Xenopus tropicalis: one gene and its partners. The protein of the gene in region 1 interacts with the protein of each later gene in a biochemical or structural test. Links are inferred from orthologs where the notes say so. Each region holds a gene or a part of one and is shown in the gene's direction. Other genes may lie near its edges.

Region 1 (3,725 bases):
CAGCTGAGGGCAATGCTATTAAAGGGGAACTCCGGCTTCTGAAACAATATTTGTTAAACACAGAAACCCCTAATATACCCATCACTGTAATCTGTTCCTTAAAGTAGGAATGAATACCATTTTTATATGCTGAAATCCAGCTGCAAAGCAGTTCTTCTCTTTCTGCATCATTTGAAATCCTGGCAGGGGAGGAGGGACTAAAACATTGATGTTACAAATTGTAACAACTTCTCCACAGCTTACAGACAGCATGCAGGAACTATATAACCCATAATGCATTGCACTGTGATGTTCCTTTCCTTAATGGCATCATATGTACAGGGAATTGTGGGATATGGAGGATGCAGACTGACAGGACAGGCGACTACTGATACATTTTATTTGAGCCTCAAAGTAGTCAGATCAGCAGGGGGCGGGGCTTAGGGAACTGTTACAAACCATATTATTACATTACAAATTATGAAAAGGCTGCATATTTTTAATTGATGTATATTGCAAAGTTGCTTGAAATTATGTTTACTTTTCAAAAAGCTCAAGTTGTGTTTGGGTAGAGAATAAACTGAGTGTACATATGTGTGTATTATTGATTAATGCAGCTAGGGAAAAATCAGCTTTATTTAGAAGCTGTAAATGACCCCTGTCTCATATGTATTACTGTATAGTGTGCCAGGCAGGGCTAATAATCTTGTGGTTATGGGGATTCACGTCCCCTTAGAAATATGTATTTATTTGTGCATGTTTGTTACGTATGGCTGACAGATAATTTTATAGTATAGATGGCGGGGGTTATAAGAGTCAGCTTAGCTTTAAACAGACCTATTGACTTGACCGTGGCAGAGTTGAGTGCCGGCAGTGACCCCCCCTTATTCCCATGAATTCAACACAGGGTGGATACCTCTTTACAGGGCCCTTTTAATAAATGGGCAAAAGGGGCATTTGCCAAGGGGCAAACTTTTGGCAGAAGCATTGAGCAAAGATGGCTGACCCCTCATTAACTTGAAGAGCTCTATAGTAGGGTTATTGTAATTTCTTTCCATTTTTCCTTTGGCATCACCCAGGGCTGTTGGTCGAGGGCAGCACACCAGTGGATCAAGGGTTGCCACCTGTCTGGGTTAGATAGGTGATGACATCAGCGGTTTGTGTGGTGACATCATCACAAACACCCCTTTTTCTGGGTTTATAACCTGGCAAAGGTGGAAAGCCATGTCTTCAGTCAAACCAGACCATTTCTTTACTGCCTGCTTTACTATATCAAACTTTACGTGCTTGAGGGTTATTCTATCACAAATTGCTTGGGGCAGTGGGGGCCCACCAGTGAAATTTTGCCCAGGGCCCCCTGGTACCTTTTAAGCAGCCCTACCTCTTTATGGTTACTATAGAAATTAAAAATGAATTTTTGATTGAATTAGCTACCAAGGGGGAGGCATTCAGTGACTGGGCTACAAATGAGCAAGCGTTAAGTCCGTAGCATAGTGTCATATTGGCAGCAGTGTTACTGGGGCTTTTGTGTATCTTTCTCTGTATAAACACAGAGAGCGTTGAACATAGTCCCTCTTTATGGATTATTTTAGCAATGTACCTTTACCTGTGTTCCTTTGTATTGCACAACCTAAACCAACAGCCAGTTTCCACATTACAAATCTTTAACTGGTATTTCCTTCCTTCCCCTGCAGCCTATAACCTGGCCAAGGAGCAGAGGCTGAACTTCGGAGATGATATCCCCAGTGCCCTGAGAATCGCCAAGAAGAAACGTTGGAACAGCATAGAAGAGAGACGAATCAACCAGGAGAATGAGCTGCACTCCTATCTCACCAAACTCATCCTGGCCGAGAAAGAGAGGTGGGGGTGGCCATTTGGCCTTCAGCCTCGGCCATAAGATACTTGTATGGGATGGGAATGAGCTTTTATGTTGGGTTCTTTGAACATGTCTATGGATCACGTCTCCGCCACAGCTCGGCCTCAGCTAATATTTTTATTTTATCCTTCGTTTACAGAGAACTTGAAGAAGCAAAGCGAAAACACCAAGAGGATAGTGTAGAGGAGAGTAGAAGTCGAGCCCTGTTGTCTAGTGTGGCTTCCAAACATGTGAGTAGGAGTCTTATGGGGGCATAGTGTTCTGGGGTTTCTTGCACCATTATTGTCTTTCTTGCTAGGCTGGGTTATCTAACGCAGGATGGAAATTTCCATGGATATTCCTGCTTGTAAGGGTTGTGGCAGAGATATTTGATTGTGTAGGCAGAGTTCATAAGGTCAAATTATCCCGATGTTGCCCACCTACATTACCTACAATACACAAGGTCACCAAACGAGCAGATCTTCTCCTGATATGCCCATTTCAGGTGGGCAACATCGGGATAATTTGATCATTTGGCCTTAGGACCAAATTACAATGAGCCGTCAATGAGTCGATGCGGTCCCCGAAGGTCCATCAGGGGGCCCCATACATGGGCAGATAAGGTTTTGAATCAGTCTAAATCACTCCAATCAGAAGCTTAAATCTACTTGTATATGGCCACCTTTATATACTGCTTTTCCACTGTCTCAGTACCTAAAGGGAAACCATGTTGGAGAGGGGTGCCACTGTGCTCAATAAGACAGTCCCTTTTACTTGATGGTAACTAAGCTGTATGAATCCATATTGGTGACTAAACAATCCTATTCGGTTTATGTCAGCTTTAAAGGGGTTGTTCAGCTTTGAGTTAACTTTTAGTATGATGTAGAATGATATTCTGAGATTGGTCTTCATTTCTTAATATTTGTAGTTTTTTAGTTATTTTCTTTTCAGTCCTGGAGCTCTCCAGCTTGGAGTTTCAACAGCTATTTGGATGCTAGGGTTCAAGTTACCTTAGCAACCAGGGAGTGGTTTGGATATCAGAGGGCCTGAATAGAAGAGAAAGTTACAAAAAGTAACAATAAAACTGGAGCCTCACAGAGCAGTAGTTTTTGGGCTGCTGGGGTCAGTGACCCCCATGTAAAAACTGCAAAGATTTTGGAGAAAAAGGCAAATGATTAAAAAACTATAACAAATAAATAACGAAGACCAGTTATAAAGTTGCTTAGAACTCCCATACCGTTGGCCATATTTAGGGTTGTGCCCATCAGAGCCAAGTTCCATGCCAAAACACCCCGCTTAATATATATAAGGGATGCTGGTTTATTGGTTGTATCAGCTGAGGCCTTGTCATGTTGTACAGCTGTGATCTGTGCTCTGAGTGGCAGGTGAGTTACCCTATCAGCCAGTGCCCCTGTAGCAGCTGAAGTCCCGCTCCCTGGAACACTACAGAGCAGAAATCACACTCTGCACAGAGAGGGGTCCTGGTGAGGAAAGACATCTTTATGGATAAAGGGAACATCTTTATCACTGTACAGCTGCAGTCGCCAACACTGTTTTTTTTTTTTGTTGCTCTCTAGGACAAGCATCTTGCTGAGATGGAGGAGCTTTTCTCTCAAGTGGATGAAAAGAGAAAGGTGAGTGTTTAATACTCGACAGCAGTCATAGCTCATACAGGGCCCAGAGCTTTCCTTTTCAGCCTCCTAGAGTTACCGGTATTCCGTTATATCCGTGTTTCCAGCTTGGGTTTGGCAGCTATAAGAAATGAGAAAAGCCGTGTGTAGAGCTGCCATGATGTTGTCTTTATTCTAAGCTCTCCCGGTCCTTCTCTTAACAGAAGAGAGATATCCCAGATTACCTGTGCGGCAAGATCAGCTTTGAGCTTATGAGAGAA
Region 2 (3,273 bases), on another chromosome or scaffold:
TGTTGCCCCTTGGCCTCATGCTTCTCCCTTAACTGTAGGACGGAGCTGAATGACCACGTGGACAGCATTGACTTCAGCCTGGACAACCTGCAGAACCTGCTGAACGGGCAGAGCTTCAGTGTGGACACCAGTGCTCTATTGGATGTGAGTGGCTCCAACCCCCCAGAATTGTCCTATACGCACCCCCATGTGGTGCCCCCTCCCTCATTCCCCTGGGACCGTGGTACAGGCCTTACTGGGGGGCCTCATTGTGTCCCCTGGTTCCTCCATGCCCCTCACTCCCCTCCTGTTTCCCATAATCTTCATTCTGCTGTTTTCCCCCTTTCCCTCGTTCCTCTGCCCCCGAATTTTAGACCTGATTCAGGATCCCCAATTTCTATTCTGACCCCCATTCATTATTGTGTTATTTCAGCTCTTCAGTCCGTCCTTGGGAATCCCTGACCTGCCCCTGCCCGACCCTGACTCCAGCCTTGCCAGTGTGAGTATAATGGGCCCCATATGGATTGTGCAGTGAGTTCTGCCCCCCCCCGTGCCTGCTTGGAACAGCCCCCCTTTCCCCCTGCCTGTGTGCCATTGGCTAGTGCTGTACCTAATGCCCCGCTGTCTCTCAGATCCAGGAGCTGCTGTCGTCTCAGGATCAGAAGGCATCGGAGACAGTGGAGTCCAGAACACCTGACGCAGGTACCTGCACACACTGCTGCAATGCAGGCTTTGCCCACTAGAGGGCCCCCCCCAGGGCTGTTTTGCTCCTCCCCCTGTGCTTCACCCACGTCTCTCTCTCCCTGCAGGAAAGCAGATCGTCCATTATACGGCTCAGCCCCTCATCCTTATGGATTCCAGCGGTTCCGACCTGCCCATTCTGCTGGAGCTGGAGGGGGACGAGCCGTACGTTGCAGAAGAAGGGGATGATTATTCAGAGGATCCCACCCTCTCTCTGCTGTGTTGGGACCCCCAGAGCAAGCCGGCGGGCTCCAGCATCTCCTAGAATATGTGGGGACTTTACTGAAGTGCGTGTGGTAGTGCTGCTGCTGCCCCCCCATTCTGCCCCCCCATTCTGCCCCAGCGTCTGCATGCCAAAGGGACTGATCTTGCTGCAAGATGGACCAATCGGATGGCTGCTTTTGGCTTGTTCAGTGTGTCTTTCTAGTAGTGGAGCCTACTGCGTGCCTCTTTGGGAACGGGTCCCCCCGCTGCCTTGGTTAGGGGTGCAGTTTCCCTCCCACCTAGGGATCTGTGGGGCAATAGGGGCAGTACTTGCATAGAGTCACCAGGGTTCTGCATTTTTCAGCACTTATTAAGATTTGGGGCAATGCTTATTGTTTGGCCCCTTCATGTCATGTGACAAGGTGTGGAGTTTGGCTGAATCTGGGGATTTGGAGCAGTTCCAAGGAGGTTAGTTCTCTGGGGCAGTTTTGTGTTACTTGCCCTAAAAATCTGATTTGCTGCATTATCTTGTTTGCCCCCCTACACCCATACTGGGGCTCATTAGCCAGGAAAGTGGGTGCCACTGCAAAATATAGTTACCCCTTAACACCACCAGGGTCCTAATTCCATTCTGCCCCCCAAATTCATCATTGGGTCTCCTCTCCACTGCCGGGGTCTTCATCTTTCATAGGGGGTGCCGTTCCCGGTGCCCTTTGGGCTGGGGGGGGACCAGATCATTTGTATTTTGGGGGGCACATCTAAAAAATCCAACTGGAAGGGCCGCACTGATTGCAGTTGATTTCAGATGCCCTGCAGCATGTATTTATTAGATGCGCCCCTGAATCTTCAAGTGATCTGGTCACCCTACTTTGGGCCCCCCAGGCCTTTACACTGCCCCCTGTGTAGTACAGGTTTGGGAGATGCTAAATCCTGCCCTCTGTAATATCAGCGGCTCCTTCATCTTCATACTTGCCCCTCTCTCTTCAGCCCTTAACCCCGTGCTTCCTGCATAACATGAACCAATCTTTCCCCCATCTTCTCATGATACCCCAGCCAATGGTCTGTGGGTTGGTTGGCAAGTGGGTGGGGAAAATGGGCATTTGTATATACGGGCAGCACAAACATCATGTCTAATCTGGTGGCTCGTGGAAACATTGCAGTCTCCCAACGTGGCTTTACGTGGGCTGATCCTGTACAGAACCGGACCGGCCAGCCCACAAGCTCAACAGGCGGCTGCTACACAAGGGTTTGTACGTGCTCTGGCCCCCTGTTCTATTGTTACATTCATTGGGGCCAACAGCCTGAAACATCAGAACAGCAGGAGCCACCGACTGCCCGGGTACATAGACACGAGCTGGGGCCGGCCGGCCGGTCTCCGTGTACCAGAGAGAAAATCATACAAAGCTGCTTCTTTTAATTTAAAGCAGAACAGAGGGCGATCTGGTTCCAGACTGAACGTTGGTTCTGAATCAGCTACAGTGGGTTAAGATTAGGAAAGTGGAAGATCCTTCTGCGAGTGGCAGCGCACTATGGGCCTGCTGGTGTTGTGGAACCGAATATCTCATTAATCACCGCGCGCTTTCAGTTGTTGCCCTCAAAGTGTTCAACGACCCCCCCCCCCAGACTTTGGCAGTTTAATGTTAATCTCTTTCCACTGAATAAGAATCTTACAGATATAGTGATGTAGGTTAATAGGCAGCAGCTGCCACCAAAAATATCAGACCAGCCTCCTGAGGTGCAAAGATAAGAGTTTGGGATGTGAAGATCCTAGTGAAAAGACCAGTTGGTTAGGTTGCGGAGAATGAAGATCCTAGTGAATAGACCAGTTGGTTTGTGGAGAAGTGAAGATCCTAGTGAATAGACCAGGTGGTTGGGTTGTGGAGAAGTGAAGATCCTTTTGAAAGACCAGTTGGTTGGGTTGTGGAGAAGTGAAGATCCTAGTGAAAAGACCACTTGGTTGGGTTGCGGAGAATGAAGATCCTAGTGAATAGACCAGTTGGTTTGTGGAGAAGTGAAGATCCTAGTGAATACACCACTTGGTTGGGTTGCGGAGAATGAAGATCCTAGTGAATAGACCATGTGGTTGGGTTGTGGAGAAGTGAAAATCCTTTTGAAGGACCAGTTGGTTGGGTTGTGGAGAAGTGAAGATCCTTTTGAAAAGACCAGTTGGTTGGGTTGTGGAGAAGTGAAGATCCTAGTGAATAGACCAGTTGGTTGGGTTGTGGAGAAGTGAAGATCCTAGTGACAGACCAGTTGGTTGGGTTGTGGAGAAGTGAAGATCCTAGTGACAGACCAGTTGGTTGGGTTGCAGAGAATGAAGATCCTAGTGAATAGAGCAGTTGGTTGGGT
Region 3 (4,248 bases), on another chromosome or scaffold:
ATAGCTAATCTTAGCCCTTATTTGACACCCCCATGATCTTTTATGATGCTTGTGTTGTTCCCCAAGTCTTTTTACATTTGACTTTGGCTCACGAGTAAGAAAGGTTGAGGACCCCTGGTTTAGTGCACCCAAGGGCAAACCCACAACTGATGGTGACTTTAAAGCTCTGGCCTGCTGAAAGTGGCAATATCTTACTTAGTTTTATTTGGATTTTTATCCTCTTCGACTGTGCAAATTAGGGTTTGAACTTGATTTAGCGATCAACCAAACATGGGGGAGAATGTGGCATTTAGCCTAGTCTCAATGGATTTGGTGCGATCCCTATTACTAAGCTTATAATACTAGAAACTTGCATCCTTATTGCTAAGCTTATAAATGAAAGGGGTGTTTGATTGTTGACCTTAGACCCTGGCCAGCCTGGGTGCTGTTCTAGTGAGCACCACCATCATCTTTCCCTATACAGGAAATATTTTGCTGCAGCCCTGGGCATGTGCAGTAGGGATAGAGTTCAGCTTCCAGGTTCAAATTCTGATCTGTCACTCTAGCACCAGCATACAGACAAGCCACAAAGGATGCCTGGGGCAGGTGAAATAGTAGCCTGGGCTGGTGTGGTTTATCAGTGCTGAGGAGTGCCATCCCAGGGTCTGAATTATGTCCACAACTGCCATCTGGTGGAAAACAGTGGCATTTGGTCTGCCACTCTCATTACTCCTAGTACAAGTGAATAAAAAAAATAAAAAGCACCCTACTGGACATACATAAAGTGGTGACCAGTGCCAGATTGAGATGGCTGGTTTTTTTCTTTTTTTTCCTCTAGGCATTAGTCAAAAAAGGACTTTTGGCAATTACTGATATCCTTATATTTAGCACTGGAAGGCTTAGAATTTTTTTTACTGTGCTTTTAAATATATATATTAATTTCCTGTTATTTATATAGCACTGACTGATTTCCACAGCACTTTTCAGAGATTATTCATCATTCCTGCCCCAGGGGAGCTTACAATCTAAGGTCCCTAGCTCATTCACACACACTCTGTTTATATTTATGGAGTGTGGGAGGAAACTGGTGTACCTGGAGGAAACCCATGCAGACATGGGGAGAACATACAGACTCCAGGCCAGGATTGAACTCAGGACCCCAACGCTGCAAAGCAGAAGTGCTAGATAAAATGTAATAAAAGTGTGTTTAGTTTGGTTCCTAATGTTTAAATATTGTTGTGGGTTTTAGAGATGATAGTCATAAAAGTACCTTTAATTTTTTTAACATAAGTTTACTACACATGTATTGGCATTTATATATCTATATCTATACATATCCCTAAAGAGGAACACAATTAGTGTTGGAAACGTTGGATTAATAAAGATTTTTTGTTCTTTTTTTAAACTCCCTGTGTGTGCGGAACTCTGTTCTTCATTTATATAATATATGTGTATTATCTCCTCAGTCACTACACATTTTACATTTGTCCTGGTGTTTTCATTGCAGGAAACCCAGCGTTTACTGGCAGAGCCAGTCCCCGGAATTAAGGCTGAGCCAGATGAAAACAATGCTCGCTATTTCCATGTGCTTATCGCTGGTCCACAGGATTCCCCCTTTGAGGGAGGGACATTTAAACTTGAATTATTTCTTCCGGAAGAATACCCAATGGCAGCGCCTAAAGTACGTTTCATGACCAAAATCTATCACCCTAATGTAGACAAGTTGGGAAGAATATGTCTAGATATTTTGAAAGGTAAGTTTTTCCTCTTATTTAAAAGGACGCTATTATTTTTCAGATTCTTTTTTTAAAAATGACTTAGGCATCACTGTATACAGCGTGCCTTTAAGTGCTGACTATTAAATCATTTTAAGAGCCAACAAAAATAAGTTGTGCTACCTTCTGAACTGTTGCATTGTGGAGTTCAGTTATTTTTTTTTTTATACACACTGACATTGTGTAACTATTGCACTAGCATGTTACAGTGTTCTAATGTGTTCCATTCCAGTTGGTAACTGCATACAGGTGTATGCTAATATATGCATCAGAAATGCCAGTGGAGTAAATGCCAATTAGGTTTAATCCATCTTGTTCAGTTATCATTGACAGACATGGCATCTGCCGTATGTGCATAGAGAATACACCACATGGTGTTAGTCTTATTTCTTTAAGTGCCAGTAGCAGTAAGAACTTGTTTAGACTTGTTGCTAGGCAACATGTTGTTTTCCCCTTAGATTACAATGTAACCCAGAAATGTATATCTATTGCATTGGTATTTTAATACTACTTTGTTAAAACCATAAATGGTTAAACATTCCTTGCAAGTTTTTTTTTTTTTATTATTATAAATTAAAGTCATGAATTTATGTTAATTAAGATAAAAAAAAACCTATCTGGGATGTTGCTCAGTATGCCTTTTTCTTGGGATTTTTCCTTTTGTTTGCCGAACACATTGTTTGCTGACACCTGTCAATATAATGGTAATAGACGTGTTTTACTTTGTGTAAAAACTGTGGTTTTGGGCTTTACTATGTTCTTTAAAGGGATACTGCCATGATTTTTTATGGTGTACTTTTTATTTCTAAATTACACTGTTTAAACAGAAAATAATTCACTCTACCATTTAAAAAAATTTTCTTGAACCAACATTTATTTTTTTAGTTGTAATATTGCTGTGTAGGCAGCCATCTCAGTGGCTGAACTTTCAGAAAGAGCCAGCGCTACACATTAGAACTGTTTCCAGGCAACCTATTGTTTCTCCTACTCCCATGTAGTCCCAAGCCAGACTTGGATTTCTTACTATTGAGTGCATACTATTTAATTGCATATTTACTCATAGTAAGGTACCATATAATTTGTACTCATAATAAATAACACATGATCATGTGAACATGAAATGAATGTTTGAATTTAAAGGCAAAGAGTAGGGTCTTATTTTCTCTTTCTTCATGTATAGATAAATGGTCACCAGCTCTGCAAATCCGTACCGTGCTCCTATCAATTCAGGCTTTGTTAAGTGCTCCCAACCCAGATGACCCATTAGCCAATGATGTAGCTGAGCAGTGGAAGACAAATGAAGCCCAAGCCATAGAAACAGGTATTGAAAAGCGAAGATTTTAATTTTTATTTTTTTAATATTATTCTGTATTTTTTACATTCTTGCACAATACTGATTGAAATTACCAAAATACAGCTTTGGGGTGAAAATGAATCCCCTCTGTGCTTTGTCATTTTATGTTTTTTATTTAGCTATAGCTTTGTTGTGACCAGTAGATTGCAACCAAACAGTGTCAGAAAAAACACGAATTTGAGCATTTTCAGTCTCTAATGGTGCAATTGTCTTTAGTGATCTTGTTTTCTCTTAGACAGATTTAAAGAAAACATTCTGGAATGAGATTCTGGAATTTTCTGACCATTTTATAGTGTGTTTGTGTATGTAATATAATACAGTGTGTGCGCTCAGTGTATTGCATTGTATGCATGAACGTGAAGGACTGGTAAAAAGGAGAAATTTGCTGAATATCTCTGCAGGTAAATGCATAACATTGTCTGTATAGGCAGGTACTATGTTGTTCTCATTGTGCTCTCTCTTCCCTTGCAGCCAGAGCATGGACTAGGCTACATGCTATGAATAATATTTAAATTCGGCTTGATCTTCAAGTGCACATCATTTCTCCTGTTCTGCCAAGACCTCTTCCCTTTATTTTTGTTTTGTTTTTGTTTGTGTTTAATGGACACAGTCTTAATAAAATATATGGAATAAAAAGCCCAGACATGGTCATCTTTGGTGATTAAATGCACATTAGCAAATAATATGTCTTGTTCTAATTCACTGTTGTATCGCATGCGCAGAGGCTGTAATCCATCGTGTCAGCATGTTCCACAATGTTCAAAGGGGTGGCAAAAGTTCTTGATGTCCATTATACCCATCATGATTTGAGTATGAGCACTGTGAATGAAGGTAGAGTTAGGTTAGTTGCTGAAACAGTTGGGTTTTTTTTTTTAATTTTTAAGATAAAACAACTATTTGTTTGGCTCTGTTAACTTTAAAACAATGTGTCATTGCCCCTCCCTTTCTTTTTAGATGCACTTTTGTTTTTGCATTGGTCAAATCTGTATTCAAAGTAACATGTACTTGCACCCCATCCTCCCTTCCCCTGTAGGAACGATTTATTAAACAGAGAATTAGAGATGATTCTAAAAATCCATCCATGAAGCAGAGAATGCTTATATCATAACATTTTTTGTTTTATACACTGTATATTTACAT
Region 4 (4,248 bases), on another chromosome or scaffold:
TATATCAGTGTTTTTGTGTGTTTTGTTTTTGTATTAAAAACAATAAATAAAATTGACCTTAACAAAAAAAGAGATAAGATAAGGGTGCACTACATTATCAAACTGTCTGTCTATATCAAACTGTAATAAATAAACTACAAATGGAAAATGTGACATGTAAAGACAAGATCACATTTTGGTCCAGATATGGACAAGCTTCCTAGAATGCACAGTTTAGCTTCACTCTGCCAAGGATGCAAATACTAGTGCAATTAGCACCTTGTTGTGAGATGAAGTCAGCCTAAAGAAATTGTCTTTTGAGAAGTAAATTGTCCTTAGCTGTGTTTTTCTAGGTTGCAGATCTCTTAGTTAAAGTCATATCTGGACATAAAACCCCTGTCCCTGTTCAGGCCACATTCCAGGGTGTTGAAAAGTGGCAACTACTTCATTCTCTTGAAGAGGAAATGCCTGGCACTAACTAGAAAATAAATTACAATATCATAAAATAACAAATTCTATGTACTGGTTCTATATACTTACTGTCTTACAAACTTTCTCTGTTCTGTGCATAGTGTGCCCTTCAGAATGCAAGGGAAGTGGTTGTTTGCCAGATGGACAGTGCTGCCACTCAGAGTGCCTTGGAAGCTGCAGAAAGCCTAATGATCCAACTGAGTGTACCGCCTGCCGGCATTACCAGTATCAGGGTGTGTGTATCAGTGCATGTCCCGAGGGGTCTTACCGGTTCCAGGGTTGGCGGTGCATTGACTTCAATACCTGTCAAGAAATGCACAACCGGTGCCCAAATAAGGAAAATTCCTGTCCTCCTTATGTCATCCACAAGGGAGAGTGCATGCCAGATTGCCCATCAGGCTATATTGCCAACTCAACTACGTAAGTAGCTTTTTTTGTGCCAATATGTAGATTTTGTTACCATCAAAATGCATAAGGTGCACAGGATTTGCATGAAGTATAACTACATTTTGGGATGGTTTAAATAGCTCCAGTATTTTCTACTATGCTAAATTTTAATAGTGTGGTATACAGTTTTGGGGGGTCTTTTTCTGTAAAAGTTTGTGCAGAGCATCCTGTAAGTATGGGGTCATTAATATTGGGGCGTTTTTGATTTTAAGTATATTTGATTTTAATTTTACTGAAGGAATGTTATGCAAACATCTTCTTTTTGCCTCTGGGATAAATATCTGTAGCAGCTATAGCTTTAGGGTCATTGATATAGGGATGACATTTCACAATAATTAAAACACACCATAATATGATATTTTCTGGTATGAAAGGAAGATATTTTTTATTTCTATTCTGATGTACCATCTCTCTACAGCCGTACTTGTACACCATGCGCAGGACCTTGCCCCAAAGTTTGCACCATCTACCAAAGTGTCAAGACCATAGACTCTGTGACATCTGCTCAAGAATTAAGAGGGTGCACAGTGGTCAACGGTAGTCTTATCATCAACATCCGTGGAGGCAGTAAGTATAACCCAGTGATAGACAGTGTTATGTACAGAGTCATTTACAGGTTTAACGAGACCAGAGGGCTCAGTTACTTTTAATGTACAGGTTTTAATTGCTTAAATAAAGGTTGATTTTACTGTAGGTGTGCCAACAAATTGTGTCTTTTGCAACGTAAAAGTTGCTACTGGCAACATTTAAGTTATTTAGTTTGTGACCTTTTTCCATGGCCTGACCTTATGTTCTACCTGTTTGTGGGCTGGAATATATGAAGTGATATAAAAAATGTTATTAATATAAATCTGTGGACAATAAATAAATAAAAAATATATTCATATAAATAGGGGGCAATAAAATATTCTTGGGAATAAAGTTGATGGTGGCCGATTTGTACTGCAAAACTGCTCTTCCTAAAACAAAGTGAGGGTATGGCAAACATTGTAATGTCTGGTTATATATACAGAAGTGCTCTGTACTAGGATTCGTATAGTGTAGGATTCGTAGAATGAACTGGTAATCTGTTTAAAAGCATTGTATTGGTTGCAGGGGCTACTGTACCTAGATAAACTTTTTGCCTTTTACTACATTATAGGGGTATGAATAGCGTCATCACATGATTACCTTCTGTCATTATGTATTGTTGAATTTTATGTCATTTTTTAAAAGTAGAAAAATTAGACAGAAGTGTTCAAGGTTTCAGGGGGATAACCCTCCTTTTATTGGAAATTGTCACATTAGAGGTCCAGCTTTCATTTATTTATATACTTTATAAGGTCAGTTTAATTTAGCTAAGACTTATTACTTTCACTAACATTGTTAATTAAGCCAGAGGCATTGGTGTGGATGGCCAAATGGGCCAGAGATCAAGGTATTGACAAAATAGTTTTTTAGGGTCCTCTGGCCTGTCAATTCAGTCAAGAATGATCAAATAATTATCAAATCTTTGTGTATCTGTACACCTTTTTATTTAGCTTCAGTGCTGTATGCATTACAACTTCTTGTCTGGTGTGGGAGCTACTGAGAGATTTACCTCGTTTAAGGTCACAAGGACCTTGCACATAATCAAACCAAGGTTTTAGTTCCAAGTTCTAAGTTCAGTGTTTATCCAAAGGCGCCGCTCCCTCTCTGACACTTCTAGCTACCAGCTGTAAAACACCTTTGAAGTTTTTCTCGTGTTTGTTTGTCAGCATTGATTTATAGGTTGTATGTACTAATGAAAATATATTTTGAATGTAATAGGAAGGTGGGTCAAAATGTATCTGATCAAGATAGGCCCTAGAATACTTAATTTTATCTTTCTGTGTAAAAATGCCAATTTTTTAACCACTGTTTTCATAATTGCAACAAATAATGTTTCTCTCCAAATCGTATCCTAATAGGCCCTCAGGCTCAGCCCAGCTCAGACCCACAGAGGAAATACATATTTCCCAAGGTTGCTTAGGGCTTTTCCAGATAAGAATGATCTGCAATGTTATTTTTGGGGTGAAGACTGTAAGAAGCAATTTTTTTATGGTCATTGTATTATTATTGTCTTTTTTTGTGAGGGAATTTTTTATCTTAAATTATCATTGTAGAACTATTATTGACATGTTGTTTTCTGCAGCCGAAAGGGTTTGAAATGGCTATCTTTGAGCAGAGATTACAACTGAAGATATATTGTAGAGAGCCAAAAAAAAAAAAATAAGCAGGAAAAGAGCCAGAATGTGAAGGCCAACTAAAAACAACAAAATAAATAACTGAAAAGTTGCTTACAATGAGACTTAATTACCCGGCAACCGGAAGATGAAGAGAAAGAGACTTTTTTTGCTGTTTTTGCCAGGAACAGTGACCCTGACAACCAGATCGAATTTTACTATACAGACTGGAAAGAAGCAAAATGTGAATTCTAACAGAAAATTCGTTTAGAAATGATCATTTAGTAAAATATGTTTTCGAGTGATTCCCATAGAACTCAGTTTTAATTTTGTTATTGATCTGTTCATTAACATTCTGTTTTTTTTATTCCAGATAATATTGCAACAGAATTAGAAGCTAACCTGGGCCTCATTGAGGAGATTTCTGGATATCTTAAGATCAGAAGATCATATGCATTGGTGTCTTTGTCATTCTTCCGCAAGCTGCGTTTAATTAGGGGAGAAGTGTTGGAAGCAGGGTGAGTGGGGTGGAATCACAGGTTTCCCTTTTTTTAACACATTTTACAGTTTTGTAAACCATCAAATATCCAGTTTTTATTGAACTCTCACAATAAAGTACTTACAGCTTAGAAAGCTATAAGAAAGCAACTACTAATCTCCCTGTGTGACATCAGCTTAGATTAACTGTTTCCTAACATTGTGATTTATTTTACAGTAACTATTCCTTCTATGCTCTGGATAATCCCAGTCTACGCCAGCTGTGGGACTGGCATAAGCACAACCTGACCATCATACATGGCAAGCTCTTCTTCCATCACAACCCACGACTATGTCTAGCGGAGATTCACCAAATGGAGGAGGTTACAGGAACAAAGGGCCGGCAAGACAAGAATGATATATCTACAAAGACCAATGGAGATCAGGCATCTTGTGAGTGCTTTCCTTAAGGGATTATCTTCCTTAACCCTTTTACTGCCAGCTGTTTTGGTCAAAGCAGAACTTGTATTGCCAGACAGTTTTTGAACATTTTGCACTGTTTCACTTTAGGGGCCTTTCCTCGGGGGGACTTTTAGTTTACCCAGGAAAACAATATATCGTTTTTTTCAGAACAACCTAAGCTTTCAAAATATGGTAGATTTTTTGTGTAATTCCAATTCTGTAACAAGAT
Region 5 (4,248 bases), on another chromosome or scaffold:
CAGCCAATGAAACTATAACTCTTGTACTTTGTTACAACGGTAGATTCCGTTAAATCCAATTAAAAAACAGTGGCCTTTGTTCAGTCTCTTTTTAACCCTTATTCCTCCCATTGAAGGGGGTTATGGAGGGCACTGCGCAACTTACAGTTAATCCGTTAAGGCTGAGCGGCGAGACAAAACAGTGTGTATTGTGCAAGCCCCTTCATGTCGGTTTAGTCTGTACCTCGCCTGTTTGTCTACTGAGTTTATTTCAACCTTTACAAAGCAAAATACAGTGTAAAAGCATTTTTTCATTGCTTTTTTATGTCTCATTCCTTTTTATTTTTTCAATGTCTGTTTCTTCTGAAAGATGAGGCATTGAGCTGAGCCGCTAAGACTCTGACAAGCAGGCGTCAGTTTACTTTGCCCTATTGAATCCATTGCCTCCTGGAGGGGACTCATTAGCACTGGGCCCTGCCTGTATCAGTGGGTTAATGTAAGATCTTATCCCGCACTCTCTGATAATCACTTTATCTGGCTATTGTATACATGACCTCTATGGATAGTCCCATTACACAGGGCTATTGGGCTGGTGTTAATTATCTGAGTCAGTCTTTCCTGTTTTAGTGGTTGATTGAAGAGTATGTTTTGGCCAAATCTGACTTGTATAGATAAATACATCTTCAATATGTTATAATTTAGCCACAGAGTTGGAGTTACATGGCAATCAAGTTTAGCCCTTGTCTGTTATCAGTAGTTCTGTCAGTCTAGCTCCGTGTCCAGATGTCTGTATGTATGTGTGTGTGTGTGTATATGTATATATTTATGTGTATATGTGTGTGTGTACGTATATATGTGTGTGTATATCTATGTGTGTGTATATGTATGTGTATATGTATGAGTGTGTATGAGTGTATGTATGTGTGGCCATTTGTGCATGCGTGCATGAGAGATTAAAACAGACTTTGTGGCGCCCTGTTATTATTTAAACTGGGACTGTGGCTCTTCAGCTGCTGTGGAAAAGTAACTCCCAATAGCCCTTCCTCTTCAGCTGTCTGTGGATGCTAGGAGTTGTGCTTCAGCCGCAACAGAAGGGCTGCAGGTTGGACAGTACTAACAGCAATGCTTTTTATTTTGCCGTCTCCTGCTTTTCTTTCTATGCTCAGTCTGCCTACCTGTAACTACTGGGCCCCAGTCTGCAATGAGTCCAGGGCTGTCACCCATATATTATCTATCTATCTAACTGTCTGTCTATGTATCTATCTATCTATCTATCTATCTATCTATCTATCTATCTATCTATCTATCTATCTGTCTGTCTGTCTATCTATCTATCATCTGTCTGTCTGTCTATGTATCTATCTATCTATCTATCTATCTATCATCTATCTATCATCTATCTATCTAGCATGCCAGGTCAGATTTTATTTAGTGTAAATGTATATTACACTGACAAAGTTCACATCTTCACCTATATATATGTGACATTATTGGCCCACTTTTATCCCACAATTCTTTATTTTCACCCACAATGCATTGCAAGTACCTGTCATTTTGTTTTCACTGAATATACCAATCACCTATATATCCAGGGCTTATCTATCTATCTATCTATCTATCTATCTATCTATCTATCTATCTATCTATCTAACTATCTATCTATCTATCTATCTATCTATCTATCTATCATCTGTCTGTCTATCTATCTATCTATCATGATTCTATCTATCTATCTATCTATCTATCTATCTATCTATCTATCTATCTAGTTTTCTATATATCATCTATCTATCTTCTCTGTAATGTCAGTATTGTATTTACATGTTTTATTTCATCTGTGTGTTTTTAATTATTTCATTGCTTGCCTATCTTCCTTTACTCTGTATAGAACAGTTCATAGGGTACTAATAGAATATTATCCCTCTATGGTTCCAAGGCTGGCAGGTTGATCTGATAAATGTAGGAACTAATACTGCTACTGAGCTGGCAGCTATATACGCAGTGTGCAGGAATATTAGCAAGACTAAATGCCACTTAGATGGAGGAAGAGTTCCTGGTTCATAATGTTATTATTTTTTTCCTATTGTACAGGGCAGGGACAGATTGGTAAGATTTGGGGATAAAGATTTTTTTACCCACCTCAATATTCCTTCTCTTGCCCCAGGTGGTGGCCTTGGGAGACGTTCCTGATGGGACACTGGTGACAGTGATGGCTGGCAATGATGAGAACTATTCCGCTGAACTAAGGAATGCCACAGCAGCCATGAAGAATCAAGTGGCCCGCTTCAATGACTTGCGATTTGTCGGAAGATCTGGAAGAGGTAACCAAAAATTAAAAAAATATTGCCTCTGTTTGCACGTGGGCCACCAGCCTGTCTGATGCTGTTTCTTTAGAATTCTGAATTCTTTACATAGGGACGAAATAAGGAGAGACAGCAAAGGTCAATGTCATATACCTTGTTGATGTGTAGCTAGAGCTGGAGTCCAAGCAACTCTGTCAAGTCGCATGGTGGGGGAGATAGGGGGTATATCTTGGACTTCCTCAAATATAGCCCTGGCACTACCACCCTGGGAGGACATAGATCATGCCTTACCCAGAGCATAAAAAGTAAAAGTTTATTGTGTACATAGAACATTCCATTTCTTAATTATTTGGCAGTAGAAGCTGCCATACTGCAGCTCTCACCTTTTTAAATACCAGCAGTATTTTAAATACCAGCACCATCTAGTGGTCTTCTGTAATTAGTGCCCTGATACTGAAATCTATGGAGAAAGAACTAACTTTTCATTTCAAACCTTATGTATTGGGCTTGGGTTGAACATTAGCCATTGCTTGCTGGTCCTCAGTACCTGACAAGGCCTGGCTGCGAAGAGACTAGTTGTGGTGTGGCCAATGACAATGTTGTGTTTGACTAGCAATGTGATCGACAGATGTTGCAGTAAAACATGGATTAAAAGAAATAGACAAGCTAGCCTTCTTCTTCTTTTTATTTTAGTTTAGAATCATGACACCCAAGCTGTGAGGCTGCCCCCCCTTAAGTAGATGACTAAGAAGTCCCAGTATAAAGGCCAGTTACAGTGTCATTTGGGGACAATGTGCATTTGCTCATTTAGATTCTCCTTCGAACCCAGCTTGAATATGAGTTTGAATAGGATTTGTGGGCGAACACAGCCGGCTTACAAAATGGAAATATGGCTGAAAGGTTTTATACAGCAATCTTTTCAAGGGTCAGTAAGCTTGTTGTAAACTAAAGGGGCCCTGGTCCCCTTTGGACCTCGGTGGGGGGGCTTGAGGTTTCCACCTGGATGGTATTTTACTACCCTGGCCAGTAGAAATGCTGCTTAATGCCAATGTTATAAGAAGGGAAGAAAGGTGAAAAAGTCAGAAGGCTGGTATTTTTTTCCAGAAAAGGTTGCATGAACTTAAAACGCCCCAAAACACAGGTTTACACTGTATTATACTGACATTATGGAAACAAGCTTGTTAAATAATATATCAATAATCCTGCTCTATTTGTCCTGCAACACTAGTACTCTGATACTGACTGTACTTTTCGGGCCTATAATAACTTAACATTTCCCTAAATCTACACTCTTTACCAAATATTATACATGTTAATGTATCTATAAAGAGTTTTGTATAGTGATGCCAATATCCTTCTAACCCTTCTATGGTATGTGTTGGGATCTGGTGCCCTGCACTAAGGCCGACCCAGTGTGTGGGATAATGTGTGACCTGAACTATTGACTTTCCTTTGAATATTTTGAAATGGAGCAATGTAATTATTCCTGTTTGCATGGGGTCTAGTAACCCATAACAAACAAAAAGCAGTTTACAGTTACTGATATGCAGTAAGAATAATGAAAGCAATTGCTATAAATTATCAGCCTCTGAGCAAACTTTGCACCTGTTATTTTATTGCCCCTTGATATTCATTATCAGGTGCTATGTGTTAAACTAGGAGCTCGCCCAGGGTTAGATATTTTATTGGTCAGGAAGCTCTCTCTCCGTTATAAGGAAAATCCACCCCCTGCAGCTTGCAATGCAAAAGAAAGCAAACTGCTTGTGCATCACCATTTACCTCCATATCTCCCTTTCCATCAGTTCATAGAATATTCTACATCTGCACTTGAAAATATTAAAGTGACACTCAGCAGCCTCTCAGTTTGCGGAATGCAAGCCGAGGGAGTATTTTTACATATGAAACCCATTGGATTCCAGTATTCCCCGGATCTTATTAACTCACCCAGGGGAACCCAAATGACAGC
Region 6 (4,733 bases), on another chromosome or scaffold:
TGAACCTTCTCTCTCATATTTATATATTTGGACTGGAGCTGCCATATTGTTTCCCTTAAACAGCAGTGTATAAGGGTATAGATTATTATGTGCTAAGGGAAGCAATATGGTACCTCCTCATATGTATACGACAAATCTTAATATAAAATATTGTGCTCTGGGCACACAATAAGCTGTACCCCCATACTGCACTGTCTAAGGGAAACAATATGGCACCTCCCTCCCATATGTATAAATACAAATATACAGAGAAGGAATGTTCTGGGCACACAATAAGCTGTACCCCCATACTGCACTGTCTAAGGGAAACAATATGGCACCTCCCTCCCATATGTATAAATACAAATATACAGAGAAGGAATGTTCTGGGCACACAATAAGCTGTACCCTCATACTGTACTGTCTAAGGGAAACAATATGGCACCTCCCTCCCATATGTATAAATACAAATATACAGAGAAGGAATGTTCTGGGCACACAATAAGCTGTACGCTCATACTGTACTGTCTAAGGGAAACAATATGGCACCTCCCTCCCATATGTATAAATACAAATATACAGGGAAGGAATGTTCTGGGCACACAATAAGCTGTACCCTCATACTGTACTGTCTAAGGGAAACAATATGGCACCTCCCTCCCATATGAATAAATACAAATATACAGAGAAGGAATGTTCTGGGCACACAATAAGCTCTACCCTCATACTGTACTGTCTAAGGGAAACAATATGGCACCTCCCTCCCATATGTATAAATACAAATATACAGAGAAGGAATGTTCTGGGCACACAATAAGCTGTACCCTCATACTGTACTGTCTAAGGGAAACAATATGGCACCTCCCTCCCATATGTATAAATACAAATATACAGAGAAGGAATGTTCTGGGCACACAATAAGCTGTACGCTCATACTGTACTGTCTAAGGGAAACAATATGGCACCTCCCTCCCATATGTATAAATACAAATATACAGAGAAGGAATGTTCTGGGCACACAATAAGCTGTACCCCCATACTGTACTGTCTAAGGGAAACATTATGGCACCTCCCTCCCATATGTATAAATACAAATATACAGAGAAGGAATGTTCTGGGCACACAATAAGCTGTACCCTCATACTGTACTGTACTAAAGGAAACAATATGGCAGCTCCAATGAAGTTACTTTTTAATCAAGAATTCTGCCTCACGATATGCTCAGTGAGTTTTTTTCAAAAAAAACATGATATCCACTCCCTTAGCTAAAGGCTTGGGCAGTGCACCTGAGCCTCTCTTTCTCTGCAGTGAGTTGTTGGACATATTTAGAATCACACAATAAGCTGTACCATCATACTGTAATGTGTAAAATACAAACATATTTATACAATATAAGAAGACAAGGCCTAGAGATTAAAAAAACATTTTGCTCCCAGAAGCTAGCTATAGGTACATACCTGGGCCATATATTTGCCCATTTAGTTTATTTTTTTTATATCTATCTCATTTTTGACACATTTACACTTTTCCTATTCATACATTTCCCTTATGAAGCATGTCAGTCTCGTTTATGACGCAAGACGCAGCACGTAATGACGTATTGACGCCGCCTCTTCCCGTCTCTATGGTGCGTGTGAGTCAGCCCTTTCTCCCCGCCCACTCCCTGCCTGACAGCCGGCTGAAGCTCCCCGCCCTGTGTGGCGTCACTGGGAGGCCGGCTCAGGAGCACTGCGAAGGCAAGATGGCGGCCACCACGGTCTCGGGTGAGCTGGGTGACGGGGCGCTGCGGGACAGGGAAGCGGGGGGAGGGCTTGCTGAGGGCAGGTTGCACCGCCGGCCAGGAACTGGCTTCTCTGGGGTTCCTGCTGTACTGTGGGGCGGTGCCTTGGCCCGGGTAGCGCTGCTGCGGGGCCTTCGCACCTCTCCGCACGGCTCTGCCCTGTCAGGAGCCCCGGGTTCCTGCTTGTGCCGGTAGCGCGGAATCAGCTGCCCCCGGAGGCCTGGGAGGGAAGCACTAGGTGTTACAGCTCCCAATCCGCCAGTGACAAGACTCGGCCCTGCCTGCACTGCTGTTCCCCCGGGCTGGGCGGCTGCAGAGGGCTGCCTGGGCTCTCCCTTACTAATGCCGGGCAATCAGACATGTTTGACAGCTGCAGGGCCACACGTTTAAAGGGGAACACCGCCCACAAACAGGATTTATTGCAGAAGAATTACTCAGCAACGTCCCAATAGTCACTGACTTCCACTGGGTTTTGCCACATAGGCAAATGAAAATTCTATGTGCTCTGCTGGTACTGACTCCTGAAGCAATGTAGCAGAAACCAGGGGATTAATAGTGCAGTCAGGACTAGAGAAAAAGGCACTACATTCAGTTTCTAATTGTTTCCCCATCAGTAGTGTGGCCTAAAGGTGGCCTTACACTGTAAGAAACGCTTGCTTGGCGAGGGCGCCCATAGAGTGGATCTCCTCCCGATATGCCCACCCTAGGGCCAAATTATCAAATTAAAACAGTGGGCATAGGCACCGTTAGTGCAGTGACTGCATCAATGAGGTCCCCGGTCCGACAGAAGAATCAAACCTGCCCGATCAAGATCTGGTGCCCATACACAGGCAGATAAACAGGGAGATTGTTGGCGCCCATACACAGGCAGATAAACAGGGAGATTGTTGGTGCCCATACACAGGCAGATAAACAGGGAGATTGTTGGTGCCCATACACAGGCAGATAAAAAGGGAGATTGTTAGCGCCCATACACAGGCAGATAAACAGGGAGATTGTTAGCGCCCATACACGGGCAGATAAACAGGGAGATTGTCGGTGCCCATACACAGGCAGATAAACAGGGAGATTGTTGGCGCCCATACACAGGCAGATAAACAGGTAGATTGTTGGCGCCCATACACAGGCAGATAAACAGGGAGATTGTTGGCGCCCATACACAGGCAGATAAACAGGGAGATTGTTGGCGCCCATACACAGGCAGATAAACAGGGAGATTGTTAGCGCCCATACACAGGCAGCTAAACAGGGAGATTGTTAGCGCCCATACACAGGCAGATAAACAGGGAGATTGTTGGTGCCCATACACAGGCAGATAAACAGGGAGATTGTTGGTGCCCATACACAGTCAGATAAACAGGGAGATTGTTGGTGCCCATACACAGTCAGATAAACAGGGAGATTGTTGGTGCCCATACACAGGCAGATAAACAGGGAGATTGTTGGTGCCCATACACAGTCAGATAAACAGGGAGATTGTTGGTGCCCATACACAGGCAGATAAACAGGGAGATTGTTGGTGCCCATACACAGGCAGATAAACAGGGAGATTGTTGGTGCCCATACACAGGCACATTGGATCTAAAGGACTGATATATTGGCAGCTGAAATCAGCCAGCGTATGGCCATCTTTACTCAGTTTAGGGGAAACAGTAGTTTTTTTTTTTTTTTTTTTTTTTTTTTTTTTAAGCCCCCGGCAGCACTAGACTGCCCTCACCAGGAGCGAGCTCCCCAAGTACCTGCCACAACTCGCTCATTATGCGCATGCTTGTGACATAGGAGGGTGAATCGCATACGTGGGAAACAACATGGCTGCCCGCACTGGGAGCTGCCTCCATCAAGCTAATGCACTGTATCCTATGGCCACAAACTGGCACCTTCCCTAGTTCCCTGGGGCACTATAGGAAGCACAATACATAACTTCATATTAATATTCTGTCATGTTAGACATCCAGTCTGTGCCCGTGCAATGTCCTGCACCCCCAGGGCATTATTTTCAGGTGCCCTGGAATCCCTTGAATACTTCCTTCTAGGTAGATTGAAGTCTGGGCAGTACAGTTAGCTGGTAGATAAGTGACCATTCTGTCTGGTCTCAACATGAATCTCAGCCTCAGTTTGGACAGGTTAAACAGAACTGTTTGGGTCCTGTATAAGGGTGAAGACACACTAAGCTACTAGTAGCAGCTACTTTCTCATGGCTATTAAACTCCAGAAAATCCCCTGCCATAGACAATACTGAGAATTGCCTCTGCTAAAACACACATAGAGACAATTATCAGTAAATGATCAGCATTGTCTATTTTAGTAGCCGTGACAAGTAGCTGCTACTAGTAGCTCTGTGTGTCTTCACTCTAAATATTACTAGCAACTAACTTGATTTGCCATTTCAACAAGCCTAGATGTCTCCTTATGGATAAAAACTAATTCCTAATATGTATGCTTTCATTGCTATATGCCATGGTAATTTAATTTAACAGGGAATTTACCTCTTCAACAGGTTTCACCCTCCCCCTTTCCGAATAGGAAGTGTTGTAACTTTCACAGCTTTTCCCTTGAGGTTTAGCAGTTTTTTTTTTTTTAATATATAGTTTGTGATACTAAAAGACCTCCAGGCTATCCATACATGCTCGGGATTGTAATGTAGATACTGCAAGTTGCAGGTTGTTGGTTCCTTTTTCTTTAATAATGCAATCCTTTCTCTTTTGCTTTCGTTTATTTAAAGACAAATGCAGTTTCTCGGCTAGGGTAATGCCAAAGGGGGGGGGGGGAGTGCATGGTCGAGCGTTTCTGTATCGCACCGACCGTTCCTGAATTAAGGTAACAAAGGGGTCTTGCTGTGCTAGCACCTGTCTTTTTGGCAGCCGATGGCCAAGGGCAGGGCAGTCTTTTTTGAAAAAGCAGGTTGTGCCACTGACAGAATTAATTGTGTCGTGGTAGGACAGGACAATGAAAACTGTGCCCATTAGTATTTGTG
Region 7 (4,749 bases), on another chromosome or scaffold:
ACAAATGGCAAAAACATGGAACAGTGGTGAACCTTCCCAGGAGTGGCCGGCCGACCAAAATTACCCCAAGAGCGCAGAGACAATTCATCCGAGAGGCCACAAAAGACCCCAGGACAACATCTAAAGAACTGCAGGCCTCACTTGCCTCAATTAAGGTCAGTGTTCACGACTCCACCATAAGAAAGAGACTGGGCAAAAACGGCCTGCATGGCAGATTCCCAAGGCGCAAACCACTTTTAAGCAAAAAGAACATTATGGCTCGTCTCAATTTTGCTAAAAAACATCTCAATGATTGCCAAGACTTTTGAGAAAATACCTTGTGGAACTTTTTGGAAGGTGCGTGTCCTGTTACATCTGGCGTAAAAGTAACACAGCATTTCAGAAAAAGAACATCATACCAACAGTAAAATATGGTGGTGGTAGTGTGTTGGTCTGGGGTTGTTTTGCTGCTTCAGGACCTGGAAGGCTTGCAGTGATAGATGGAACCATGAATTCTACTGTCTACCAAAAAATCCTGAAGGAGAATGTCCGGCCATCTGTTCGTCAACTCAAGCTGAAGCGATCTTGGGTGCTGCAGCAGGACAATGACCCAAAACACACCAGCAAATCCACCTCTGAATGGCTGAAGAAAAACAAAATGAAGACTTTGGAGTGGCCTAGTCAAAGTCCTGACCTGAATCCTATTGAGATGTTGTGGCATGACCTTAAAAAGGCGGTTCATGCTAGAAAACCCTCAAATAAAGCTGAATTACAACAATTCTGCAAAGATGAGTGGGCCAAAATTCCTCCAGAGCGCTGTAAAAGACTCATTGCAAGTTATCGCAAACGATTGATTGCAGTTATTGCTGCTAAGGGTGGCCCAACCAGTTATTAGGTTCAGGGGGCAATTACTTTTTCACACAGGGCCATGTAGGTTTGGATTTTTTTTCTCCCTAAATAATAAAAACCCTCATTTAAAAACTGCATTTTGTGTTCACTTGTGTTATCTTTGACTAATAGTTAAATGTGTTTGATGATCAGAAACATTTTGTGTGACAAACATGCAAAAGAATAAGAAATCAGGAAGGGGGCAAATAGTTTTTCACACCACTGTATGTGTGTGTATATATATATGTGTGTGTATACATATGTGTGTGTATATATATATATATTCCATGCAACTATAAATAGTAAAACATATATGTATATTAATTCCTATAAAGTACTCCTACAGGTTGCAAACACCACCTGCTCACACTTCCCACAGATATTTACAGTGAGTAGTGAAGGTGTGAGCTGCTGCTGCCGCTGTTTTTACTCAGGGAAACACAAGGTGCAGCATTACTGCAACTCCCATCCCATTCCTTGCAATGCACAGGCCAGTAATTAGCTGGGATATCAGTTTCAGGCTCGGACTTCCCCCTTCTTTTTTTTTTTTTTTTTCTCTCTCCGCACTACTGTACAACAGCCTGATTTCCCCGAAATGATGCCGAGCTGCTAGCCCAGCCCCTACCAATAGCGGCGCAGCAAAACACATGGAGTGGGCGGGCCGAACAAACTAATACCTGGGGTTCCCCGCTATACATAATAAAGTCACTCAGGCTCTCTCAGGGAAACATCTCTCCAGGAATCGCTCGTTTAGGAGATATTTCTAATTCACGTCGCCCCTTTTCTCTCTGGATTACAAATTCCTGCTAGAAAGGTAAACTTCATCGTTTCATTTGCTTCTGCAGAACAAAAAAAGGACCTTTAAATGCACGAAACATGATAGAATCTGATGCTGGAGGCTGGTGATGTTCGGGGTGATGATCGCCTGGCATATTATGTGCAATGCATTGGGATTTGCCTCTGCTCTGGCACTGACGGGTATAGCTAATGATAGAAGATGGGGGTCAGGCTGAGGGTATAGCTAATGATAAAAGATCAGGATTAGGCTGAGGGAATAGCTAATGATAAAAGATCAGGATTAGGCTAAGTTAGATAGTTAGACAGCAGATCAGCAGCCAGTAGATGTTGCTGTGTGTGCAGTGGGCACTTTATCATGCTGTTATGTATTCCTTATTGCTTCTGTATCCAATGAAGGAGGAAGTTGGAATTAAAAAGCAGCAAGGCATAGGAGAATGGAAGACAAGGCTGACCCCTTGGTATAGATAGGGCAAAAAAATACATTTTTAGTATGGAGTGTGGGAAAGTTTGCACTGTATGATGAGACTGCATATAAATGTTTCCTGTGACTCTGTGCTGATCCTTCTGCAACTTGTGACTCTCCAGCTATTGCTGAACTCCTGTCCTGTGATGCTGGCAGAGGCACAGACTGCATATCTCTGCATGCAAACAGGAGTTAAATTCAGTATCTAAAGAGTAAAAATGCAGCTCAGTCTGTGTGTCGTGACTGCTCGTTTCCCAAAGAGGTTCTGCATCAGCTGTGAGCTGTGGGTCACTCTTCCTTGCACTGTAGAAGTGCTGTCTTTAATGTGCATGCGGGGAGGTTTAACTGTTTGTGGTCTGGGTGTTTGTGGTGCAGAAGTTCATTTGTTTCTTTACAGCAAAATGTTATTTTTTTTTTTTTGGTAGCAGCAGAGATCAGGGCGGTCCGTTTTATGCTGGCGGTAAAAACACAGAGGAAAAAAAACACAGCAGCCAGTTAGGTTGCGTTTCAGAGGATGTAAGCCAGTGCTTGGGGGCGTAACTATCCCTGCTATCTTCTTGTGGCTTCAAGCAGCACAACCCAGCTCTGTGAAGCTCCACATGTTGCTTTTGGCAGCAGCTTTCAGCATTGTGTTGTGCAAGATGGCAGTATTCCCACTTATATTCTCAAAGCTTGTAGTTTTGTCTTAGATTCAAAGGGAAACATTTAGGTGGCACTGGCATGTAATACAGTCTTTATATTTCATTGCACTGATTAAGCCAGTAGTAATAGTAGTATAGGAATAGGAGTTGTAATTCCAAATATATATATGAAAAAGTGCAAAAAAATGAAAAGAAATTGGTGTCTTGGCTGGATGAGAACATTATAATAAAATACACATTGGGAGTTTTATTTGCTTTGATGGAAATTTAATTTTATTATGCAGTATTTTATATGTGAGTTTAGCACTCCGTTTGGTTTTGCCAGTTCACAGGCAACTTTTGGCAACTGTTGTAGAACCATATTTCATAGTTGAAAACTTCAAGGAAGAGATCTGTGATGAATAGTAATAAAGTAATTTTACTGGTGTCATCCCAGGGCAGTTTGGAAATAACATACAAAGCATGAAGATTTCAAAAAAAGAATGGAATTCCCCACTGACAGCGAAAAATGACCTTGTGTGTTTTTCTTTTGCAGAAATAATGCCCGTTACACGTTTACGGATGAGGCCATGGCTAGAGGAGCAAATAAACTCCAACAAAATCCCTGGACTTTCATGGATCAACAAGGTAAGGGCATGTATACATGAACTTTCCCTTTAGAGCAGTGGCATACAACACATGTATAAGCCTGGAACTTCTATATTATGTTTGTCAGTTAACGCTGTGATGCGCTTGTTTATAAAAGGATAGCTCCTGTTTTAGTGCTACTGTCACTTTAATGTTAACAACCTTACATCTACATCTTTGTTAGTAAAAACAATTGCAGTTATGGAGTATATTTAGCAAAGAAGAAAAAGAAAATTCTGCAAGGTTTCTCCCTACTAAAATAACTGAAGCATTTAGAGAATTCTGTGGGCGTGGGAAGTGATTTAGGACATTTGGGAAGGATTTTCTGTTTGCTTTGTGATAAATGGCAGATTTAGGGTTAGAGAGATGTAGTTCTGCATAATAAACATTGCAAATATACTTATGGTTAACAACGTTTTCTATCTCTTTTAATCAATCTGCCTTGTGAATAACATTGCCATTATGTAAAATACTGGCCAGATGGCAACCCTGTACGCATGAGAATATATTTTATATAGTGGTTTGGCTATCAAAGCAACTTGTTTATAAACATCAGTGCTCCTTGGAGGAGGATAATAAGCAGATCTTCTCTTCTGCAGGAAGAAATGATATTTGAGATCCCTTGGAAACACGCTGCTAGACATGGATGGGACATCAATAAAGATGCGTGCCTTTTCCGTAGCTGGGCTGTCCATACAGGTACGGCTAAAAGGGTGGGTGGAAGTGCCTGCATATTATAAAGTCTCTAGGGGATGTATAAAGCTAATGTCCTGAAGCACAGTTTAGCTTAGATTCTTAAAGGAACTGGTAATATAACTGCAATATGTAGCCTTTCCTAGCCTGATTCTAGTTGTATTAGTTTAATGCCAAGTTGCTGCCCATGAACCTATGGTTAACAATTACATCATTAACAAGGCAGCCAATATGTCTCTCAGCAGATAATACAAGATGATACTTTTCTCTCATTTGCTTCTATCCCCAATATCCTACATTATGCCAAAAAGTTGCGTTAGCAACACAAAAGTTTGTTTTGGTCTTGGTTTATTCTCTGAAAATATTTTCTTTCTCAAATCTGCAGGACGTATTAAGTCTGGTGAGAAGGAGACAGACCCTAAGACTTGGAAGGCCAATTTCCGCTGTGCAATGAACTCCCTGCCAGATATAAAAGAAGTAAAAGACAAAAGCATATACAAAGGTTCCAGTGCAGTCCGAGTGTATAAAATGCTCCCGCCTCAAATAAAGGCCGAGAAGAAAGGTAAATGCTTATTATGAGCCATATGTCACCATGCATCAGAAGCCATTATGATTTCAGGTGCACACATATCTTACATTACAGAGCCTGAAAATTAATAT

The links.
Region 2: the proteins of stub1 (region 1) and hsf1 form a complex in vitro, tested with the Homo sapiens proteins (2 studies listed by BioGRID, with this or other methods). The link is inferred for Xenopus tropicalis from reciprocal best matches to the Homo sapiens genes STUB1 and HSF1.
Region 3: the proteins of stub1 (region 1) and ube2n form a complex in vitro, tested with the Homo sapiens proteins (11 studies listed by BioGRID and IntAct). The link is inferred for Xenopus tropicalis from reciprocal best matches to the Homo sapiens genes STUB1 and UBE2N.
Region 4: the proteins of stub1 (region 1) and insr form a complex in vitro, tested with the Homo sapiens proteins (2 studies listed by BioGRID, with this or other methods). The link is inferred for Xenopus tropicalis from reciprocal best matches to the Homo sapiens genes STUB1 and INSR.
Region 5: the proteins of stub1 (region 1) and runx1 form a complex in vitro, tested with the Homo sapiens proteins (3 studies listed by BioGRID, with this or other methods). The link is inferred for Xenopus tropicalis from reciprocal best matches to the Homo sapiens genes STUB1 and RUNX1.
Region 6: the proteins of stub1 (region 1) and ube2v1 form a complex in vitro, tested with the Homo sapiens proteins (4 studies listed by BioGRID). The link is inferred for Xenopus tropicalis from reciprocal best matches to the Homo sapiens genes STUB1 and UBE2V1.
Region 7: of the proteins of stub1 (region 1) and irf1, one has a biochemical effect on the other in vitro, tested with the Homo sapiens proteins (4 studies listed by BioGRID, with this or other methods). The link is inferred for Xenopus tropicalis from reciprocal best matches to the Homo sapiens genes STUB1 and IRF1.

What each region holds. Positions count from the first base shown.
Region 1 is NC_030685.2:14,823,090-14,826,814, forward strand, and holds part of stub1 (E3 ubiquitin-protein ligase CHIP), read left to right. Parts: intron 1-1,673; coding exon 1,674-1,839; intron 1,840-1,994; coding exon 1,995-2,085; intron 2,086-3,411; coding exon 3,412-3,468; intron 3,469-3,668; coding exon 3,669-3,725. UniProt on the Homo sapiens protein: E3 ubiquitin-protein ligase which targets misfolded chaperone substrates towards proteasomal degradation.
Region 2 is NC_030682.2:152,297,775-152,301,047, reverse strand, and holds part of hsf1 (heat shock factor protein 1), read left to right. Parts: intron 1-38; coding exon 39-144; intron 145-412; coding exon 413-478; intron 479-611; coding exon 612-681; intron 682-788; coding exon 789-985; 3' UTR 986-3,273. UniProt on the Homo sapiens protein: Functions as a stress-inducible and DNA-binding transcription factor that plays a central role in the transcriptional activation of the heat shock response (HSR), leading to the expression of a large class of molecular chaperones, heat shock proteins (HSPs), that protect cells from cellular insult damage.
Region 3 is NC_030679.2:56,088,822-56,093,069, reverse strand, and holds part of ube2n (ubiquitin-conjugating enzyme E2 N), read left to right. Parts: intron 1-1,486; coding exon 1,487-1,733; intron 1,734-2,934; coding exon 2,935-3,075; intron 3,076-3,579; coding exon 3,580-3,620; 3' UTR 3,621-4,248. UniProt on the Homo sapiens protein: The UBE2V1-UBE2N and UBE2V2-UBE2N heterodimers catalyze the synthesis of non-canonical 'Lys-63'-linked polyubiquitin chains. This type of polyubiquitination does not lead to protein degradation by the proteasome.
Region 4 is NC_030677.2:111,788,584-111,792,831, reverse strand, and holds part of insr (insulin receptor), read left to right. Parts: intron 1-551; coding exon 552-870; intron 871-1,315; coding exon 1,316-1,464; intron 1,465-3,453; coding exon 3,454-3,598; intron 3,599-3,795; coding exon 3,796-4,010; intron 4,011-4,248. UniProt on the Homo sapiens protein: Receptor tyrosine kinase which mediates the pleiotropic actions of insulin.
Region 5 is NC_030678.2:13,905,837-13,910,084, forward strand, and holds part of runx1 (runt-related transcription factor 1), read left to right. Parts: intron 1-2,143; coding exon 2,144-2,300; intron 2,301-4,248.
Region 6 is NC_030686.2:36,460,618-36,465,350, reverse strand, and holds the start of ube2v1 (ubiquitin-conjugating enzyme E2 variant 1), read left to right. Parts: upstream 1-1,622; 5' UTR 1,623-1,720; coding exon 1,721-1,742; intron 1,743-4,733. UniProt on the Homo sapiens protein: Has no ubiquitin ligase activity on its own. The UBE2V1-UBE2N heterodimer catalyzes the synthesis of non-canonical poly-ubiquitin chains that are linked through Lys-63.
Region 7 is NC_030679.2:36,218,749-36,223,497, forward strand, and holds the start of irf1 (interferon regulatory factor 1), read left to right. Parts: upstream 1-1,589; 5' UTR 1,590-1,681; intron 1,682-3,304; 5' UTR 3,305-3,309; coding exon 3,310-3,396; intron 3,397-3,995; coding exon 3,996-4,095; intron 4,096-4,474; coding exon 4,475-4,651; intron 4,652-4,749. UniProt on the Homo sapiens protein: Transcriptional regulator which displays a remarkable functional diversity in the regulation of cellular responses.